2 linked regions of the Caenorhabditis elegans genome follow. The protein of the gene in region 1 purifies or fractionates together with the protein of each later gene. This does not show direct contact. Each region holds a gene or a part of one and is shown on either strand. Other genes may lie near its edges.

Region 1 (8,355 bases):
GGGAGTTGCTGTCGATGATTTGGGAAGTATCTATGTGGCTGATAAGGTAGGTCAACTATCATGAGACGTTTCTCAGTAATGCGAAAGTTCATAATTGTATACATTTTGATAAAAATTAACTTTGTTTATTAATTATCATCAAGAGAAGAACTTTGTTTTTGTAGATTCATATATTGCAGGCAAACCGGACGTCCGGTATTTTGAGTATCATTTTTTAATTTTTTTTTTTTTGGAAATTCGGACGCCGGACATTATTGTGGTCCGCTTTGCAGATCTAGATTAAATTTTAAAAAACATTGCCCCACATGCTAAAATACAAGTGAAGCTTAAATTATAGGATAATCACCGCGTCCAAGTCTTCGACAAAAATGGTCAATTCATTGCAAAATTCGGATCTTTCGGACATCTACCTGGTCAACTAAACAGTCCATTGTTCATAGCAGTTAGCAGAGTTACTCATCACGTGAGTGATTCCAGATAGATTCATGAATCATTCTGAATCGTTTCAGGTGTATGTATCAGATTCTTCGAATCATCGAATCAGCGTATTCGATCCCCACGGTGTTCATTTGTTTTCATTCGGCGAGGAAGGTTTTCATGGTGGACAATTCAAATTCCCACGTGGAATTGCTATTGATTCACAGGTAAGGCTGGAATGCTAAAGAAAAATTCTAAACCATTCATTTTCAGGAAAACCTAATAATCGCCGACTCCGGTAACAACAGGATCCAAGTTTTCGACGCCCAAGGTCAATTTGTCTCCTCTTTCGGAACTTGGGGTGGAGGAGCTGGACAACTGAAAGGTGTCGAAGATGTTTGTGTCACTGCTGACGGTTCAATTGTTGTCACCGATCGCGAGAATCATCGCATTCAGATCTTCTAAATTATGTTTTTTCGGGCCTTATTCTTGTTTCATTTTCAATTAAAATGTCTCCTTTGTAATTTTCTGTTATCGATACCGATGCCACCCAACTTTTTAGTGTTTTCATCTTTAGGTACAAAGCACTTTTACAAGTATTATTAATTATTATTACCCATTACGACTTTCGGTTTTAAAACACTTCTGTTTTCGAGTTTCAATAAAATATTTATTGAGAAAAAGGAAACATTCATTGGATTTCCGATTGCATTCGATTGTGGATTCTAAGCTTTGAAAGTGAAGAGGCAAGTTTGGCCAGCTGTTTGTTGGAAGACGGTGAAGCGCTCGTTGGCGGAAACTTCGTATCTGAAATTACAATAGCATTTATTAAATGAATGTTTGTATTAATCTAATTTTCTTATATTGGTTTCTACTTAGCTTTCTACGTACCTACTGTGCTGCCTAAAATTACTATACACCTAAATACATGTAGTAGGCCTACACGCATGCCTGCTAGGCCGGCAGGTGGTAGGCACGTATCAGTGAAAACGCGCTTGGATCCTATGAGAAGGTTAATGATACCGTGCAGAATTGACGAACAAATTTGTAAATTTTAGCTCTTATAACGGCCATGACATTGAGTTCACAGTGAGACCCATCCAAAAAATAGCATTTGCCTTTAAAGTGATGATTCCAGTTTTCACAAATTTACGATAATCCATGAGCTACATTAATCACCTCTTTCCACCTTCCTTCATCTTAGAAATTTTGAGAAGTCCACCCTTTCCAACATTGTACTCTTTTTCTGCCTCTGGAACTCCGCCCATCAACGTCATGATAGCTGGACTTCTGACAGGCAAGGAGCTGTTGGAATGAGCCGAAGTCACCGAAATCTCCTTCTTCATCATTGGTTGCTGGCCACGACGATTGTACGGATGCTTTGGAGCGTCTTTGTCGATGCGGCCACGCTTCAAAAGTGCAATTTCATCCATGAACTTGAATTCAGTTGGATTTGATGCCAACGACAAGTGCGTGCTCACTGGACTTTTTCCTTCGTCCGCAGGAATATCGACAGACTGAAATATTTTCTTCTTCATTAAGTTTTTCAACCACGTATTGTATGATACAGGTGCGAAACTTGGCAATTTTTTGCCTACAGCTCCTGGTCTCGGAGCGACAAATTGTTGTCAGATGCGGGAGGGTGTGCGCCTTTAAAGAGTACTGTAACTCCAAACTTCATCGATTATTGTTACCACTTATATTTTTAGTTTTTCAACAAATTAATAGTGTGTTGGAAAATCACTAAACATTCTGCAGCAACTAGACAAAATTACAGTACTCGTTAAAGGCGCACAACACTTTGCATTTAACAACAATTTGCCGCGTCGAGACCGGGCACCGTATTCCAAAAATCGGATTACAGCGCACACCAATAAAATAAATAAAATTACCTCTGCTCCATCAAAAGACACTGTCGGATAGTGTTGATCATTCTTGATTGAACGCGATTTACGATGCTTACGAGAGCTATCGTTCCGGTGAGACATTATTTCTTTGTCAAGCTAGAGGAATAAATTCAAACTGAATTTATTGATTTTTAAAGCTTTGGTTTATTTTTCTATCTGTAGTGTTGAAGTTCAAGTTCACGTATTTGAAAAACAATTTCATTCAATAAATATAAACTTTTTTTATTTAAATACTTAATTAAACCATAAACATAAAACAAAGCGTGTTTATTGAGTGACAATACCGCGAAGCAGGGTCGATGACAACTTCTCCAACTTTTTTACATCCTGCAATTGATTCGTACTGTATTGAAGGCAGACCACGTCATCGGTGAGCTTCAGCACGAGCTGTCCCTTTGTGTGGTTGTACTTGGTGACGAATCTGAAAATCAAAGTTTAGTTGTCACTAAAACTTTTGGAAATCTCCATGAGGAATGTTTTAGGGGATTTTTATTTAAATTCAGCTGAATATGCCATAAATAACAAAGAAACTACAAAAAAGTTGGTTGCAGAAATATCGACAAAAAGATTTTCCAGGAAATAATCCTTTAGTAATTTATGTTTCTCACGAATAAAAATTATTGATAAAATTGATTTTCTTTCGCTTTTCTATTTTATGTAAATATCGCACATTTAAGTAATCTATAACATTTTTCAATCCCGAAAGTGACGGTTTTTTTAAAATATTACGAACTAACCTGCATTTCTCCGGATTGGCACTATGAAGCCTTTCAGCAGCTTTTGCAAATTCGTCCCAGCTTGTGAAGTATGTCATTGTTTCGAATCTGAAAAAAAACTTGATTTATAAGTATGGAAGTATTTGAATAAGTAATGAGCGCAGAAAAGAAGGAAAGACGATTTTGGAGATTACTAACAAATAATATTATTAAAATATTCAAGTCAATTAATTCATAAATTCACTAGTAAAATAGTATTATTAAATTTTAATATTAAATAAAATGCTTAAAACATAATTTGTTGCCGGCCACATTTCAAGTGTCGTAAGATTCACTGCACTGGACGCAGAGATGCAATGCCGGTGTTTGCGTACTTTTCGAATTAATTTTTTTTGCTGAATTTTAAGAATTTTTAGATAATCTTTCTTATTCCTTAATAGTTTTGAATGGGTTTTAGTCTTATAATTAAGTGAGATTTCAATCTAATTTTTTCAACAGCTTTCGTATTTGAAAATTAACTAATTTTCATAGGAATTGACGGAATACTAAATATTTTCCTTGTTTGCTTTAATTAATTACTTCTAATGAATTTATCTTCTTATTAAACGTTTTCTCCGTTTAAAATATCTTTCCCAACCTTTATCTTTTTTCAGCCGTCAAAATGACATCAAAAGTGGGTCCAGTAGCCTTGAAAACGTTCCGCGAGAAGCTCGGCCCGGAACTGCTCGAAGTATTCGATAAAAGTTACAAATCGTTCACAGATGTACAAGTAAGTTTATAATAGTTTATTTGATCGAAGTGAAATTATATCAAGTGAGGAAATGTCCAAAATTTCCAAAGTAATCAATCCTTCTTCAATTTCGCATCCTTTTTTGCATCGTCCCAAGGAAATCTGAACGGATGAGCAGGTGTCATATCTCTCCATTCTCTATCTATATCGATATCGTATTCTTTAATTTTAACGTTAAAGCATTTTGCCATCACTATCACAAATATAACTGCCACAAGAACCACGAGAAAAGCAAACACGTAGAAAGTTTCCTGAAATTAAAATAATGTTTTTAATTAAACATTTTCCACTTAAAATCCAATACCTCATCAAACAACTCGTTGAATGTTGGAACTGCTTGATTCATCTGATGAACAACGTCCAACATTAATCGAGTTTTCCCATTTTTTCGCTTCCCTTGATAATAATACGCTCCCCAGTCCTGTTTCGGTTTGTTCATTCTCTAAAATCAAGAATATAAAATAAAAATGTTTGAAATATACAAGAAAAAGCATAGCATAAAATGGGTCAGAAGGGTGGGAGAAAGGATATTGATCGGGAGTTAGAGAGACGCAGACATGAGAGCAAAGGAGGAGTGTGCTCTCCTCAAAGCTGAGGAAAAAGCCATTTGATGTAGAAAGTAGTAGGAATGCATCTTTATTTAATTATCCAATTTCAGGTTCTCTCTGGAACACATCTCCTTAACCTGTCTGATGTTGTCGTTGAATCTCCAACTGGATCTGGAAAGACTCTTGCTTTCGTTTTACCAATGATGAGAATGATTCAAAATGCAAAACTTCAGCCTGCTGACATTGGAGCACTTATTCTATCGCCTTCAAGAGAGCTCTGCAGTCAAATCGTTAGCGTAATTCAACCATTCGCAGAGAAACTCAATTTAACTGTGGAAACAGTTACTGGAGGACAGAAAGTGGACAAAAATATCAAGATGTTCAAGAATAAAAAGTATGTTCGTATTTTTATGCGGAGTAAAAGATGAATTACAAAAAGTTCGCCAAAAAAAGCGAATTTCTTAATGAGACCTCAAAAAATTTCCATCATTTTTATGACGGTTTGAAAAATCGAAGAAAAAATCGAAAGTTATAGCAAAAATTAGTTTTTTTTTTTAGTTTTTGAGCTGCAAAAATATGACATTTTTTGGCAAATCTCATCATGAAATTCATTTATTTTTGCACATTTTGTATGTATCTACACACTCAAAAAACGTCCTCCTCTAACAGTTTGTGGAAAATAAAATATTCCCATTTTAATTTCTGCATTTTCCAGTGTCAACATTCTTGTCGCCACTCCCGGACGTCTTTTCCAAATAATTCAACACGAGAAGACCCTTATTGCTCGAAAAATGAGAACTCTTCAACTCCTCGTCATTGATGAAGCGGATAGATTTAATGAAATTCAGTTTGAGGATCAGTAAGTTTATTGAAGAACATATTCAGGCTTAAAATTGATTTTTTACAGTATGCGAGAGATTCTCTCATGTATCCCAAAGCAACGTCGTACCGGATTGTTCTCTGCTACTCAGGTTAAGGAAGAAGATGATTTGATGGTTTTTGGTTTGCGTAACGCAAAGCAAGTGAAAGTGGCTCAAGAGAGGAACTCGGCCGCACCTTCAACGTTGAAGAATTATTATGTCGAATGTCGAGCTGATGAGAAAACGAGTGTCTGTTTGGAGTTTATTCGCCAGAGAACGGATAAAAAGATTCTTATCTTCTTTCCTTCGTGCAATTCAGTTAGATATTTTTACAAGGTATATTCAATTTTAATGGAGATTATTATTAATATTATTCAGATTTTTGAAAGATGTCTTGGTAAACGCCCATTGTTCGCAGTTCATGGAAAATGCTCAAACCCACACCGTGCATCTCAAATCAAAGCATTCTCGGATAGCACCAATGGAGTTATGATTTCAACTGATGTGATGGCACGAGGAATTGATATCTCGGATATTGACTGGGTCATTCAGTTCGATCTTCCAAAACATTCCAGTTGGTTTGTCCATCGAGCCGGCCGAACAGCCAGATGTGGTCGTGAAGGAAATGCTCTTATTCTCATCGCTTCGGAACAGTTGGCCTATGTGAATTTCCTTGATAACCACGAGAAAGTAAAGCTTGATGAGATCAAAGTTCCAACTAACAATTCGAGAAAATCGGAAGAGCTGAGACAGAAAATGATCAAAATTCAAGTTTCTGATCGTGCAATTCTAGAAGCTGGAACTCGTGCATTTGTGAGTCACGTGGAGTCATATGCCAAACACGATTGTCATCTCATTTGCTCACTTGATGGTAGGTTATGCAAAATATATAATACAACGCTGAAATAATAAGTTTACAGATCTCAACGTGGTCGGTCTTGCCAATTCGTACGCTCTTCTCAGATTGCCGAAAATGCGTGAACTGTCACAAAGAAAAGATTTGGATATGTTCGACAGAAGTGCCATCGAGACATCTGAAATCAAATACGCCGATGTTAAACTAGAAGCCAATCGGGAAACTGTGATGAAAGAAAAGCACGAGAAGAAGGTCGAGACGTTGGCTGCAAAGGATAAGAAGCGCCGTGAGAAGGAGGCTAGAAAACTGAAGAAGATGGGTGGAAGGTTCAGAAATGGTGGTGGAACTGGTAGAAAAGCAGAGGAGAAGAAGGCTTTGAAGAGAAAGGCCGAAGAAGAAGATGATGCTCAAAATGATATCCGATTGTTGAAGAGAATCAAGAGAGGAAAGTTGAGCAAGAAGGAAATCAAGGATGTTCTTTAAATTGTTTTTTGTTTCTTTATTACTTTTTGTTTTCTTTTTTGTTATTGTCTTGTTATCACTGTTTTTCGTTTTCATAAATGAACGTTTTAAAATGAAAAATCAATTTATTGCAGAACGATATGAGATCGCAAGAAGAATTAAATAAAAAAGTTTCAATCGCAACTGATTCTTGCTTTTGTATTATCCAGATGCTAATTTAGCGAATTTTGCTCCAGGGTCTCGAAGCGATCGATTTTTTGAATCTCAAAATAGCGTGCGCCTTTAAGTACTGTAGTTGCTAAAGTTTTTCTCCCGTTGCTTCAAAAAAATTTGTTTCAATAAATTTGAAAAAACGGGTGAAAAGACGTTAGCAACTACAGGAATCCTTGAAGATGTTGTAAGTTTGAGAAAATCGATCGCTTTGAGACCTGGTATTGTAGTTCTGGTTTTTCGCAACTAGGCAATAGAACTTAAGTTAACATAAGATATTAGGAATAACTGAGAGAATTAAATAAATAAATTAAAATTTTTAGAAGGTATCCTAACTAGACGTTATTTATCACTACCACTGCTGATAATGCGGATTTTCCACAACTCCAGAGGATCCATGTTCATCCCAAGCTGAAGCGAACGGGTTGGTTCCAGGAGCTGTAAATTTTCAAATTTTATGAGCTCATAAGTTTATAACTGTTCAAGTTTACCTGGAGCCGCCTGAGCTTGATAAGAAGAATCAACACCGGCTGGTAACTGTGTGAATGTAGTCTCAGCAGCTCCGTATCCAGTTCCATTGATTCCAGTTTTATTCACCAATTCCTTATTCGACCATTCTTCCTCCTCTTTTGGTTCTGCCCATTCTTGAAGTTCTCCGGAAGCATAGACAGCATAAAAAGTGACTCCAGTAAAGTGAATAAGACTGGCTAATAAGAAAACACTCGTCCATCCGTGTTTCGAGTGAGCAGTGAATGCTTCAGTCACAAATGGGCAAGTTAATCCGGCAAGTGTTCCGATTCCATTCGAGAATCCCATTAGGATGGCTGCATAACGGGGAGCAATGTCCAAATGATTTACGTTGAAACCTAAAATTACAGATTGTAAGGCAGAGTCCATGGACACTATATTACGACTTTTGCAACAAAAATACGGTAATTTGATTTCCTTTACTGTATCGTCTAGAAATGTCATAATCTCTGCATCTTTGAAACTTTGAAACTATTTTATACGAAAAGTTACAAAAATTGATCTACTGACGTTTTTCTTTATCAAGGTTTCGATGTTTCAAAAATCAGATGATCATCGTAATAGTCAGAGGAAGTATACGTAGTATCTCTCGATAAACTTCCGCATTGTAATTCTGCAAAAACTGCAAAAACTGACATACCAGAAATAGCAAATCCAGACATTCCAACAGCAGCAATCAATGCCATTATAGCAGTTGTATCACTTGTTGTATATGCAACAATTAGCATGAATGCAGCTTCTCCTCCAAAACCACCACAATTGAAAATCTTCCGAACGGCAGTGGTGGAAAGGATCTTGTTGGATCGGAGATAATCAGCGAGTTGTCCACCCATAAGGACCACGCATCCCATTACCAAATGGGGGATTGCAGCAAGAAGTCCGGACTGGAAAATATTTCTAAATCGAATTGTTCCAGTTGCAACTGGAGTTGAGGTATTTCAATCATAATGTTATAGATGTATCGCTTTCCAATTGTATCAAAGTCTTTTAACACTGCTTTTCCTATTCGCTTTTTTCTACTCATTCTCTGATCTCTTTTGTAGAATTTTCAGTCAAAATGT
Region 2 (7,450 bases), on another chromosome or scaffold:
CGTCTCGTTTCCCGCGCGCTCAGTGTTTTCCTTCCGTCGCCCAGAGAAGCTTAAAAGCCTCTCTTGAGCTGGAGGAGCACACGCCGCCGCCGGCTCCGCACTCCTCGCAATTTTGGAAATTGCATGAGCCTCTTCTTTCCTTCCTTCCTTTCCCGCCACGCCCCTTTCCTCCCCCGTTTTCCATTTCATCGAACTGACTGACGGGAGAGGAAGGATGGACGATAGACGGGGTGGCAAAATATTCAACCCCATTGTTTGCCCCCGTTTCTGACGAAGAGCCCGTGCACATACATAGGCTCGCACTCTCATTCCGCACATTTTATCTCGTTGAATTCAATTCAATTAGGTCACTTGCTCTAGTTTGCTCTTTCAATCTCTACTCTTTTAACCCGGGTGCTATGATACTTTAAATCAAACTTCCATCACCTTCCATATAGATTAACTCTTCAGATTCCACACTAACATCCTTAAAAATTACAAAAATATTTAAATGCTCCAGAATGACATCCTGGACAATTTTTGAATATTTCATCCTCAGCGTCTGCCATCTCCGCTTAAATAGGAAAAGGCTCACACAATTTGCAAATATATATTTATAAAGGCTCGGTTTATTTGAGATGGCACATTTTTCATTAAGTATTCGTACCAACGGGCACAATTGTGCCCGATTTGTGTCTAGAAAAACTAGGAAAATCGTGGGAAAATGACAGTTTGTTTGCCAGAAAACTCTTCAGTCTTCTATATAATCGTAGTTGTGGTAGTTCCAAAACTTGTGTTTTCATATATTTTAACTCGTATTTTAACTGCTGCAAGATTTCTAAATTAAATTATATTAAACCGAGAAATTTCGAAGCTCAGAAACTATGATTACTTGAGGCAGATATGTCTCAATTGTTCCAATGTTTTTAACTAGACTCAGGCCAACACAAAGACCAAGTGCAACATATCAAAATTACACATTTGATGTCCAATGCACATGTTTCAAATTTGCTCAGAAACCCTTCACCTTCATCTCCTGCTCCACCACCCACCTCTCTTGTGTCGGCTCTCTCCTATGCTATTATATGTATGTGCTCTGAATCCCTTGCAGAATTCATGTAATACTATGTTTTCCCGTTTCGTCTACTTGCTTCCCTTTTCTTTCGGTGTTGATTTACCTAATTAAATGAGAACCTACGTGCATTTCCTGCTCCGACTCAGAGAGAGAGAGAAATTATTCAATATAGCAATGTAGCAGAGATTTTTATTCTATTTTCAGTTGTTTTCAAGTATTTCCAGCTATCAATCATCACTTTTCTGAAGCAGGTGAATACTGAAAAACAATCCATTCTGCAATCTCGTTATACCTTTTTTGATTCGAACAGCTCCTTCACTCGTGATATTATGAGGACGCAGAAACATGATACGCTCCGCCCCCAAACCATGGGTCTCGTTAGGTATTTGACGGAAAAACCTTCAATCGAAACGTTTTAATAGTGTTTTTCGTTTTTTTATTATGTTGTTTTTAAAGATTTTGATGCTGAAATTCTGACATGAATTTTTAGTCAAATGAAACAACATTAATTTCTTAAACAAGAAATCTTTAAAATCAACTTAAAACATAACAAAAATTTTTTAATATGAAACTAATTGAAAAACGTCTGAATTAATGAGTTCTGCCGCCAACTTCCTACCGAGACCCATGGCCCGGAGGCGGCGCGCTTTGCACTTCAATTTGAATAGGTATTTTTTCTGCGTCCCCATAATATACCCTAACCTCAATTCATATGGCTGCTTTTCTTGACCGGAAAATGACGTTTTCTGGTGAATGTGCTCATTTCCTTTTGCTACTTATTTTTCTACTATGAGATCATGATCATATTGCTTTCCCCGTTTCATATTTTCTATATTTATAACGTTTCGTAATTTATAATTTTCTATATTTCAGTGGAAAATATGGGGATAGGAGCAGATGAGAAGAAGCCGTTGCTAGTACAACTCGACGGGCAATATTATGACATTGCTGATTTTGCGCCTAAACATCCGGGAGGTGCCAAGGTAACTTTTTTTCAAGTTTTAGGATATTTTACTAATCTCAAACTTTTTATAGGTTCTGAATCGTTTGGCTGGAGAAGAAATTGGAGAATTTATCAGAGGAGAAAAAAGGATAATGGGTGTACGTCATGAGCACTCGGAAGCCGCTTATAATATGCTCGAGAGATATAATGTGAATGCAATTCAAAAAGTTCGTTCCTTCCATCAAATCTAATTATTAATATTTCTAAAATTCTAGGGTGATCCATTGATTGAGTCTAAATCCGGAATGCTTTTCAAAGTTGGATCTCTTGGCTCTGAATATTGGCATTGGATTCATCAACCATATGATGGAACTTTAAGGTATTGATGATCTCGACTTTTCAATGCAAATTTTCACTTTTTTTCAGACTTTTCGATTCGGATGTGTTGGAAAGCATGACAAGAACAGCTTGGTGGGTGGTCCCTGCTGTTTGGATGCCGATCGTCATTACTTTTTCTATCCTCTCAGTGCTCTCATTTTCAACATCCACCGATGTTTATAACTCGATTCTCCTGTGGTCTGCCTGGTTCGTCATTGGAGTTTTGACATGGACTCTCACTGAATACAGTCTTCATCGATGGGTTTTCCATTGGAAGCCGTCTCCAGATTCGCCGAATCAGATTCTTCTTCATTTCTTGGCTCATGGACTTCACCATAAAACACCGATGGACGGAGACCGCCTTGTGTTCCCTCCGGTTCCAGCTACTTTGATTGTTGGAATTTTCTATTTAATCTACTCCAATACCTTCCAATGGTCAGTATTAAACCTTTCCTGGTTCCCATATTCAGTTAATCGTTTTAGGCCAGTGTTTTGCGCGTTTGGCGCTGGAAAGTTATTTGGATATGTAACCTACGATATGGTACACTATTATTTACATCACGGAAGTCCTCGTCCACGCAGCAATTTACATTTTAGAAAAGTATATCATCATAATCACCACTTCAAAAACTTTGACGTCGGTAAGTTACATTTAACGGGATTTTGTTTAAAAATCAATTTTTAATTTGTTATTTTTAAGTCAAGAACATTAAAAACTGTTTTTTAATTGAGATTTTCTATAATCTGCAAATTGTCGTGAAATATAATGTTCTCTGACGGAAAATTACACAGATTTGCGATGGAGCGCGTTTGCACTTTCATTTTCGCAATCGAAATTTTTCTATCATTTTCCCTATTTCAGGCCTATTTTCATTTTTCAGGCTTCGGAATTTCGACTTCTCTTTGGGATTATGTTTTCCACACACTCGGAATGGGCCCATTATAATAATACATAGATGTTTTTTCGGAAAATTTGTTGTTTATTGAGTGAACTCTGCCTCACGTTTTTTATCTCTAAGTCTCTTGTCCCGATTCACTTTTCTCACGATCCACTATACCCGTTGTACATATATATTTATCGATTTACCTTTTCTTTTCTCGTACGCCAGATTAGTTCAACTTGTTTTCACATTTTATCTATATAGATCAGCTACTCAGCACGTGCCTATTATCCTCACTTCTTACCGGTTTCCATCAAACATTTTGTGATATTCCTTCTTGTTTTGTTTTCTTTCTGTTATGCGTGAAATTTGGAATAATTTTTAAAAATATCTAATGAAATCACCCCTTCATTCTTTCTCGCTAATTCTTTTTTTCGTTGCAATGCGCCGTATTTATTTCATATTTCTCTATAGTTTCAGAAGTTTTAGAAATCATTGATAGTTTCAGAACTCAGTCTACTTTCAACGGACAATGTTCTTGAGATACTTCTTGGACGAGAACCAACAAAGAGTGTACACTTTGAAGAGAACTGCTCCATCTGGAGAGCAAACTCTTACCGCTCATCCAGCTCGCTTTTCGCCGGAAGACAAGAACTCCAAATATCGCATCATCATCAAGAAGCGCTTCGGACTCTTGCCAACCCAGAAGGCAAAGACCGTTTGCTAAAATGCTGGTTTGGGAGTGGCGCCGCATGTTGCGGCAAAAAATCCGCTCTTTCACCCCCAATAAACCTATCAATTATCAACAGGTAATTTACAAATCTCGCATTTTTCCAAACGATATTTTATAATTTCAGGTGTCTCGTCGTCGTATCATCGTCTCTTTTGTTCTTTTCTTCGTTGGATGGAAAGCTTTTGGTTATACTCTCAACGATATGTTCCTTTGGACTGTCGATGAGCAAACTATGCAAGGTCGCTTTTTAACTCCACAAGAAGGCAAAGATCGAAGGTTTGTGTAAATTGAAAAAATCATTGATAATATTTTCATGGTTTCAGAGAGGCCCTAGAACGACAACGAGATCCCAAGTTACGCATCAAACCCCCAATTGTTTCGAAATACGATCTTGACGACTAGCTTTTAGTCTTTTTTCCACCGTTTTCTCTTATTCTTTTTGTACTATTCTTGTTGTTTTCTTCTCATTGTTGTTGTCTCTCAAATAAAGTATGAAATGTTGAAAAAGTGAGGAATTGTATTGCAAGTTGAATCCTCATTACAAATACTTCAGGTTTAAATTAGATTTCTTCGAATTTGATTCTGTCAGGTTTACAGGGTTGATGAGTTTCAAAGATTTTTCTTTCGAGTTCAACGGAGAACCAATTCACTTTTCGATAACCTCGCATCCCGACAAAGATCTTGTGCACTTCAATTCAACAGGAAGAATCGGACAAGTAATCGAAGTTATTCAGCCACCAGAGATTCTATCTAGCCAGCTCTCCGATCAACAAAGAGTCGAATACGAGTTGAAGAGCTTGCTGGGAAATCCTGAATTGGTATGAATAGATGATTTTGATGTTGAAACGGTTCAATTCTTTACAGCCCGGCGTTGAGTTATTCATTCGTAGATTTGTGATCCATTTCGCAGGAACAAACCAGAGGAAGAGTGCTCTTTTTGTTTTCGGTAAATCTTGAAATAGTAAATAGTTTTTTACAATCAATTTTTCTATAGGAATCGATCTTGATGGCATCCCGAACGAATGCATTGCAGCCGCTTTGCAAGCCCTCGAAGAGAATCATTAGGTGAAAACAATAAATAATCATAAATAATCTATTCAAAGATTTTTCCAGTAACTCTCTCACACATCTTTCCTCGTCATCCACGTCGTCTGAAACTCCCAATAAGAAAAAATCAACAGTATTTTTACCTTCTTCTTCATTTATCAATCATATCAAGTCAACTGAACGCTCGTCTTCCGATCAGAAAGCAGCGAGTGATGGTGGACTCAACGACTTGTATTCCTGGCAAAAAGCTGCTCGAAAAGATTCAGAAATATTCGAACTTCTCGATGGTCCACCATATGCAAACGGAGAAGCTCACACGGGTCATGCTATCAATAAGATTTTGAAAGATTTCGTTGTGAAGAGTAGAATTGCGTTGGGATATAGGTATGAATAATTACAATTAGTAATTCCACTTTAATTTAAATTTCAGAGTACTCTTCCGTCCTGGATGGGATTGTCACGGACTTCCGATTGAGTTAAAAATAGGAAAACAGCAAGGAAATGCTGGTTCACGAACACCATTGGAAACACGCGCTGCTGCTCGAATCGTTGCAGATGAAGCCATCGGAAAGCAAATGAATGCATTCAGAAGATGGGGTGTTACTGCTGACTGGGAGAAACCGTATGTGACGAAAAGTCCAAGTTACGTGGCGGCTCAGTTGGACATTTTTGCAAAGCTTGTGGAGCAGAAGCTGGTGTATAGATCCTTCAAACCGGTCTATTGGTACGTTTCGCAAGTTATCTCGAATATAATTTTCTTCGTTTTTAGGTCACCGAGCTCAAATACAGCTCTTGCTGAATCAGAGCTAGAATACAATGATAAACATCAAAGTACAAGCGCTTATTTCCGATTCAAGCTGATCAACTTCTCATCATCTGATGTCATTTGGGCTCATTCTGAACCTTCCAAGATTTCTCAATTCTTCGCATTGATTTGGACTACAACTCCATGGACTCTTCCACTTAACAACGCAATTTCCGTGTCCTCTGCTATTCAGTATTCCTTGATTCAATTTGATAATGAAATCAAGTATGAGAATTGAAATCCTATATTTAGAATAAAATAAAGTTCTTTCAGCAATCCAACTTCCACATTCTATGTCATCGCTTCTAAATTGCTCGAAGAATTCCAAAAATCAAGTGATCGAAAGTGTAAAGTTGTTGGAACAGTGAAACCTGCGAATTTGATCGGAAGACGATACAAAAGCTGTTGGCACAATGAACTTGGTCTTCCAATATACGAAGGTCCACACGTTACGGATACAGTTGGAACTGGCTTAGTGCACACAGCATTTGCACATGGATTCCAGGATTATGATGTAGGTGGAATAAGGAAATTATATATATACCAGCCGTGGACCGCACCTACGGCGCGGCCCCCGACTTTTTCGAGAGACGCCGAACACGGGGTGTCAGAAAGTCTCATTGCGGTTTGATCTACAAAAAATGCGGGAATTTTTTCCCAGAAAATTTGTGACGTAAGCACACTGTTAACCATGCGAAATCAGTTGAGATGTCTACGTCTCACCTCCCGCATTTTTCGTAGATCAAAGCGAAAAGGGACCGTCTGACTCCACGTGGCCGAAGACATTCAGTGTCTATCGCGGACCTCGATCAATGTCGGCTGCATATTTACCATAAGGCCGGGAACTTCCAGTTGCTTCGAGATCAAAGGTCAAACTACATAGGGATAGACATTAGCGCTTTATTTATAGTAAATGATTTATTATTATTGAAATGTTATCTTTTATTTCAGGTTGCTATATCAAAAGGAGACCGAGTAGAAAGTTTCGTAGATTCTCGTGGATGTTATACCAGACACCTTGGTCATGATCTAGATGGTAAAGAAGTGCTGGGAGAAGGCCAAAAGATTGCTCTTCGGCTGTTGAATCATGATATTGTTCATGTATCGAAGCATGTTCATTCATATCCTTATGACTGGAGAACGAAGAAGCCAGTGATCATTCGAAGCAGTGAACAATGGTTTATCGATGTGGATGAAATTGGAAAACGCGCTTCTATGATGCTTGATGACATTTCAGTGGCCGCAGGTGATTCGGATCTACGTGCATCACTCAAACAACTGGTGACAACTAGAAAAAGCTGGTGTATTTCAAGACAACGAGTGTGGGGAACACCGATTCCTGCATTAGTTGATGACAACGGTGGATCCTATACATCTCGAAAACTCATTGAATGGGTAGCAAAATTGACACGAGAACGTGAAAATACTGATGTATGGTGGGAGATTGATGTAAAAGAAATATTGGAAAATGAAGAAGTTCGAAGATCGTTAGAAATTCCCAGTGATATAGTTTCTCAATTAAAGAAGAATACGGATATCATGGATGTATGGCTGGATTCTGGACTTGCTTGGCATGCTGCTAGAGATAATGACACTGAACGAGAACACG

What was found. Proteins that work in one complex are often made in the same cells at the same time.
Region 2: the proteins of ZK512.2 (region 1) and nola-3 fractionate together in Caenorhabditis elegans (co-fractionation; one large-scale study listed by BioGRID). This does not show direct contact.

What each region holds. Positions count from the first base shown.
Region 1 is NC_003281.10:9,140,133-9,148,487, reverse strand, and holds ZK512.2 (putative ATP-dependent RNA helicase DDX55 homolog), read left to right. Parts: upstream 1-3,693; 5' UTR 3,694-3,701; coding exon 3,702-3,809; exon of another isoform or gene 3,810-3,883; coding exon of another isoform or gene 3,884-4,081; intron 4,082-4,134; coding exon of another isoform or gene 4,135-4,269; exon of another isoform or gene 4,270-4,277; intron 4,278-4,488; coding exon 4,489-4,772; intron 4,773-5,093; coding exon 5,094-5,237; intron 5,238-5,285; coding exon 5,286-5,574; intron 5,575-5,616; coding exon 5,617-6,109; intron 6,110-6,158; coding exon 6,159-6,577; 3' UTR 6,578-6,739; downstream 6,740-8,355. Other genes in the region: RING finger protein nhl-1, read left to right, coding at 1-46, 338-463, 510-644, 691-882; ZK512.8 (uncharacterized protein), read right to left, coding at 1,143-1,224, 1,597-1,934, 2,310-2,405; ZK512.4 (Signal recognition particle 9 kDa protein), read right to left, coding at 2,592-2,745, 3,062-3,138; ZK512.11 (uncharacterized protein), read right to left, coding at 3,884-4,081, 4,135-4,269; putative vesicular glutamate transporter eat-4, read right to left, coding at 7,119-7,204, 7,258-7,632, 7,935-8,178. UniProt on the Caenorhabditis elegans protein: Probable ATP-binding RNA helicase.
Region 2 is NC_003279.8:10,175,254-10,182,703, forward strand, and holds nola-3 (Putative H/ACA ribonucleoprotein complex subunit 3), read left to right. Parts: upstream 1-3,788; coding exon 3,789-3,983; downstream 3,984-7,450. Other genes in the region: fath-1 (Fatty acid 2-hydroxylase), read left to right, coding at 1,936-2,037, 2,090-2,224, 2,273-2,376, 2,424-2,810, 2,859-3,016, 3,257-3,321; C25A1.16 (uncharacterized protein), read left to right, coding at 3,985-4,065, 4,114-4,265, 4,313-4,391; C25A1.20 (Proteasome assembly chaperone 3), read left to right, coding at 4,592-4,807, 4,854-4,935, 4,984-5,054; iars-2 (isoleucine--tRNA ligase), read left to right, coding at 4,996-5,054, 5,103-5,420, 5,467-5,760, 5,806-6,066, 6,115-6,355, 6,793-7,450. UniProt on the Caenorhabditis elegans protein: Required for ribosome biogenesis. Part of a complex which catalyzes pseudouridylation of rRNA. This involves the isomerization of uridine such that the ribose is subsequently attached to C5, instead of the normal N1.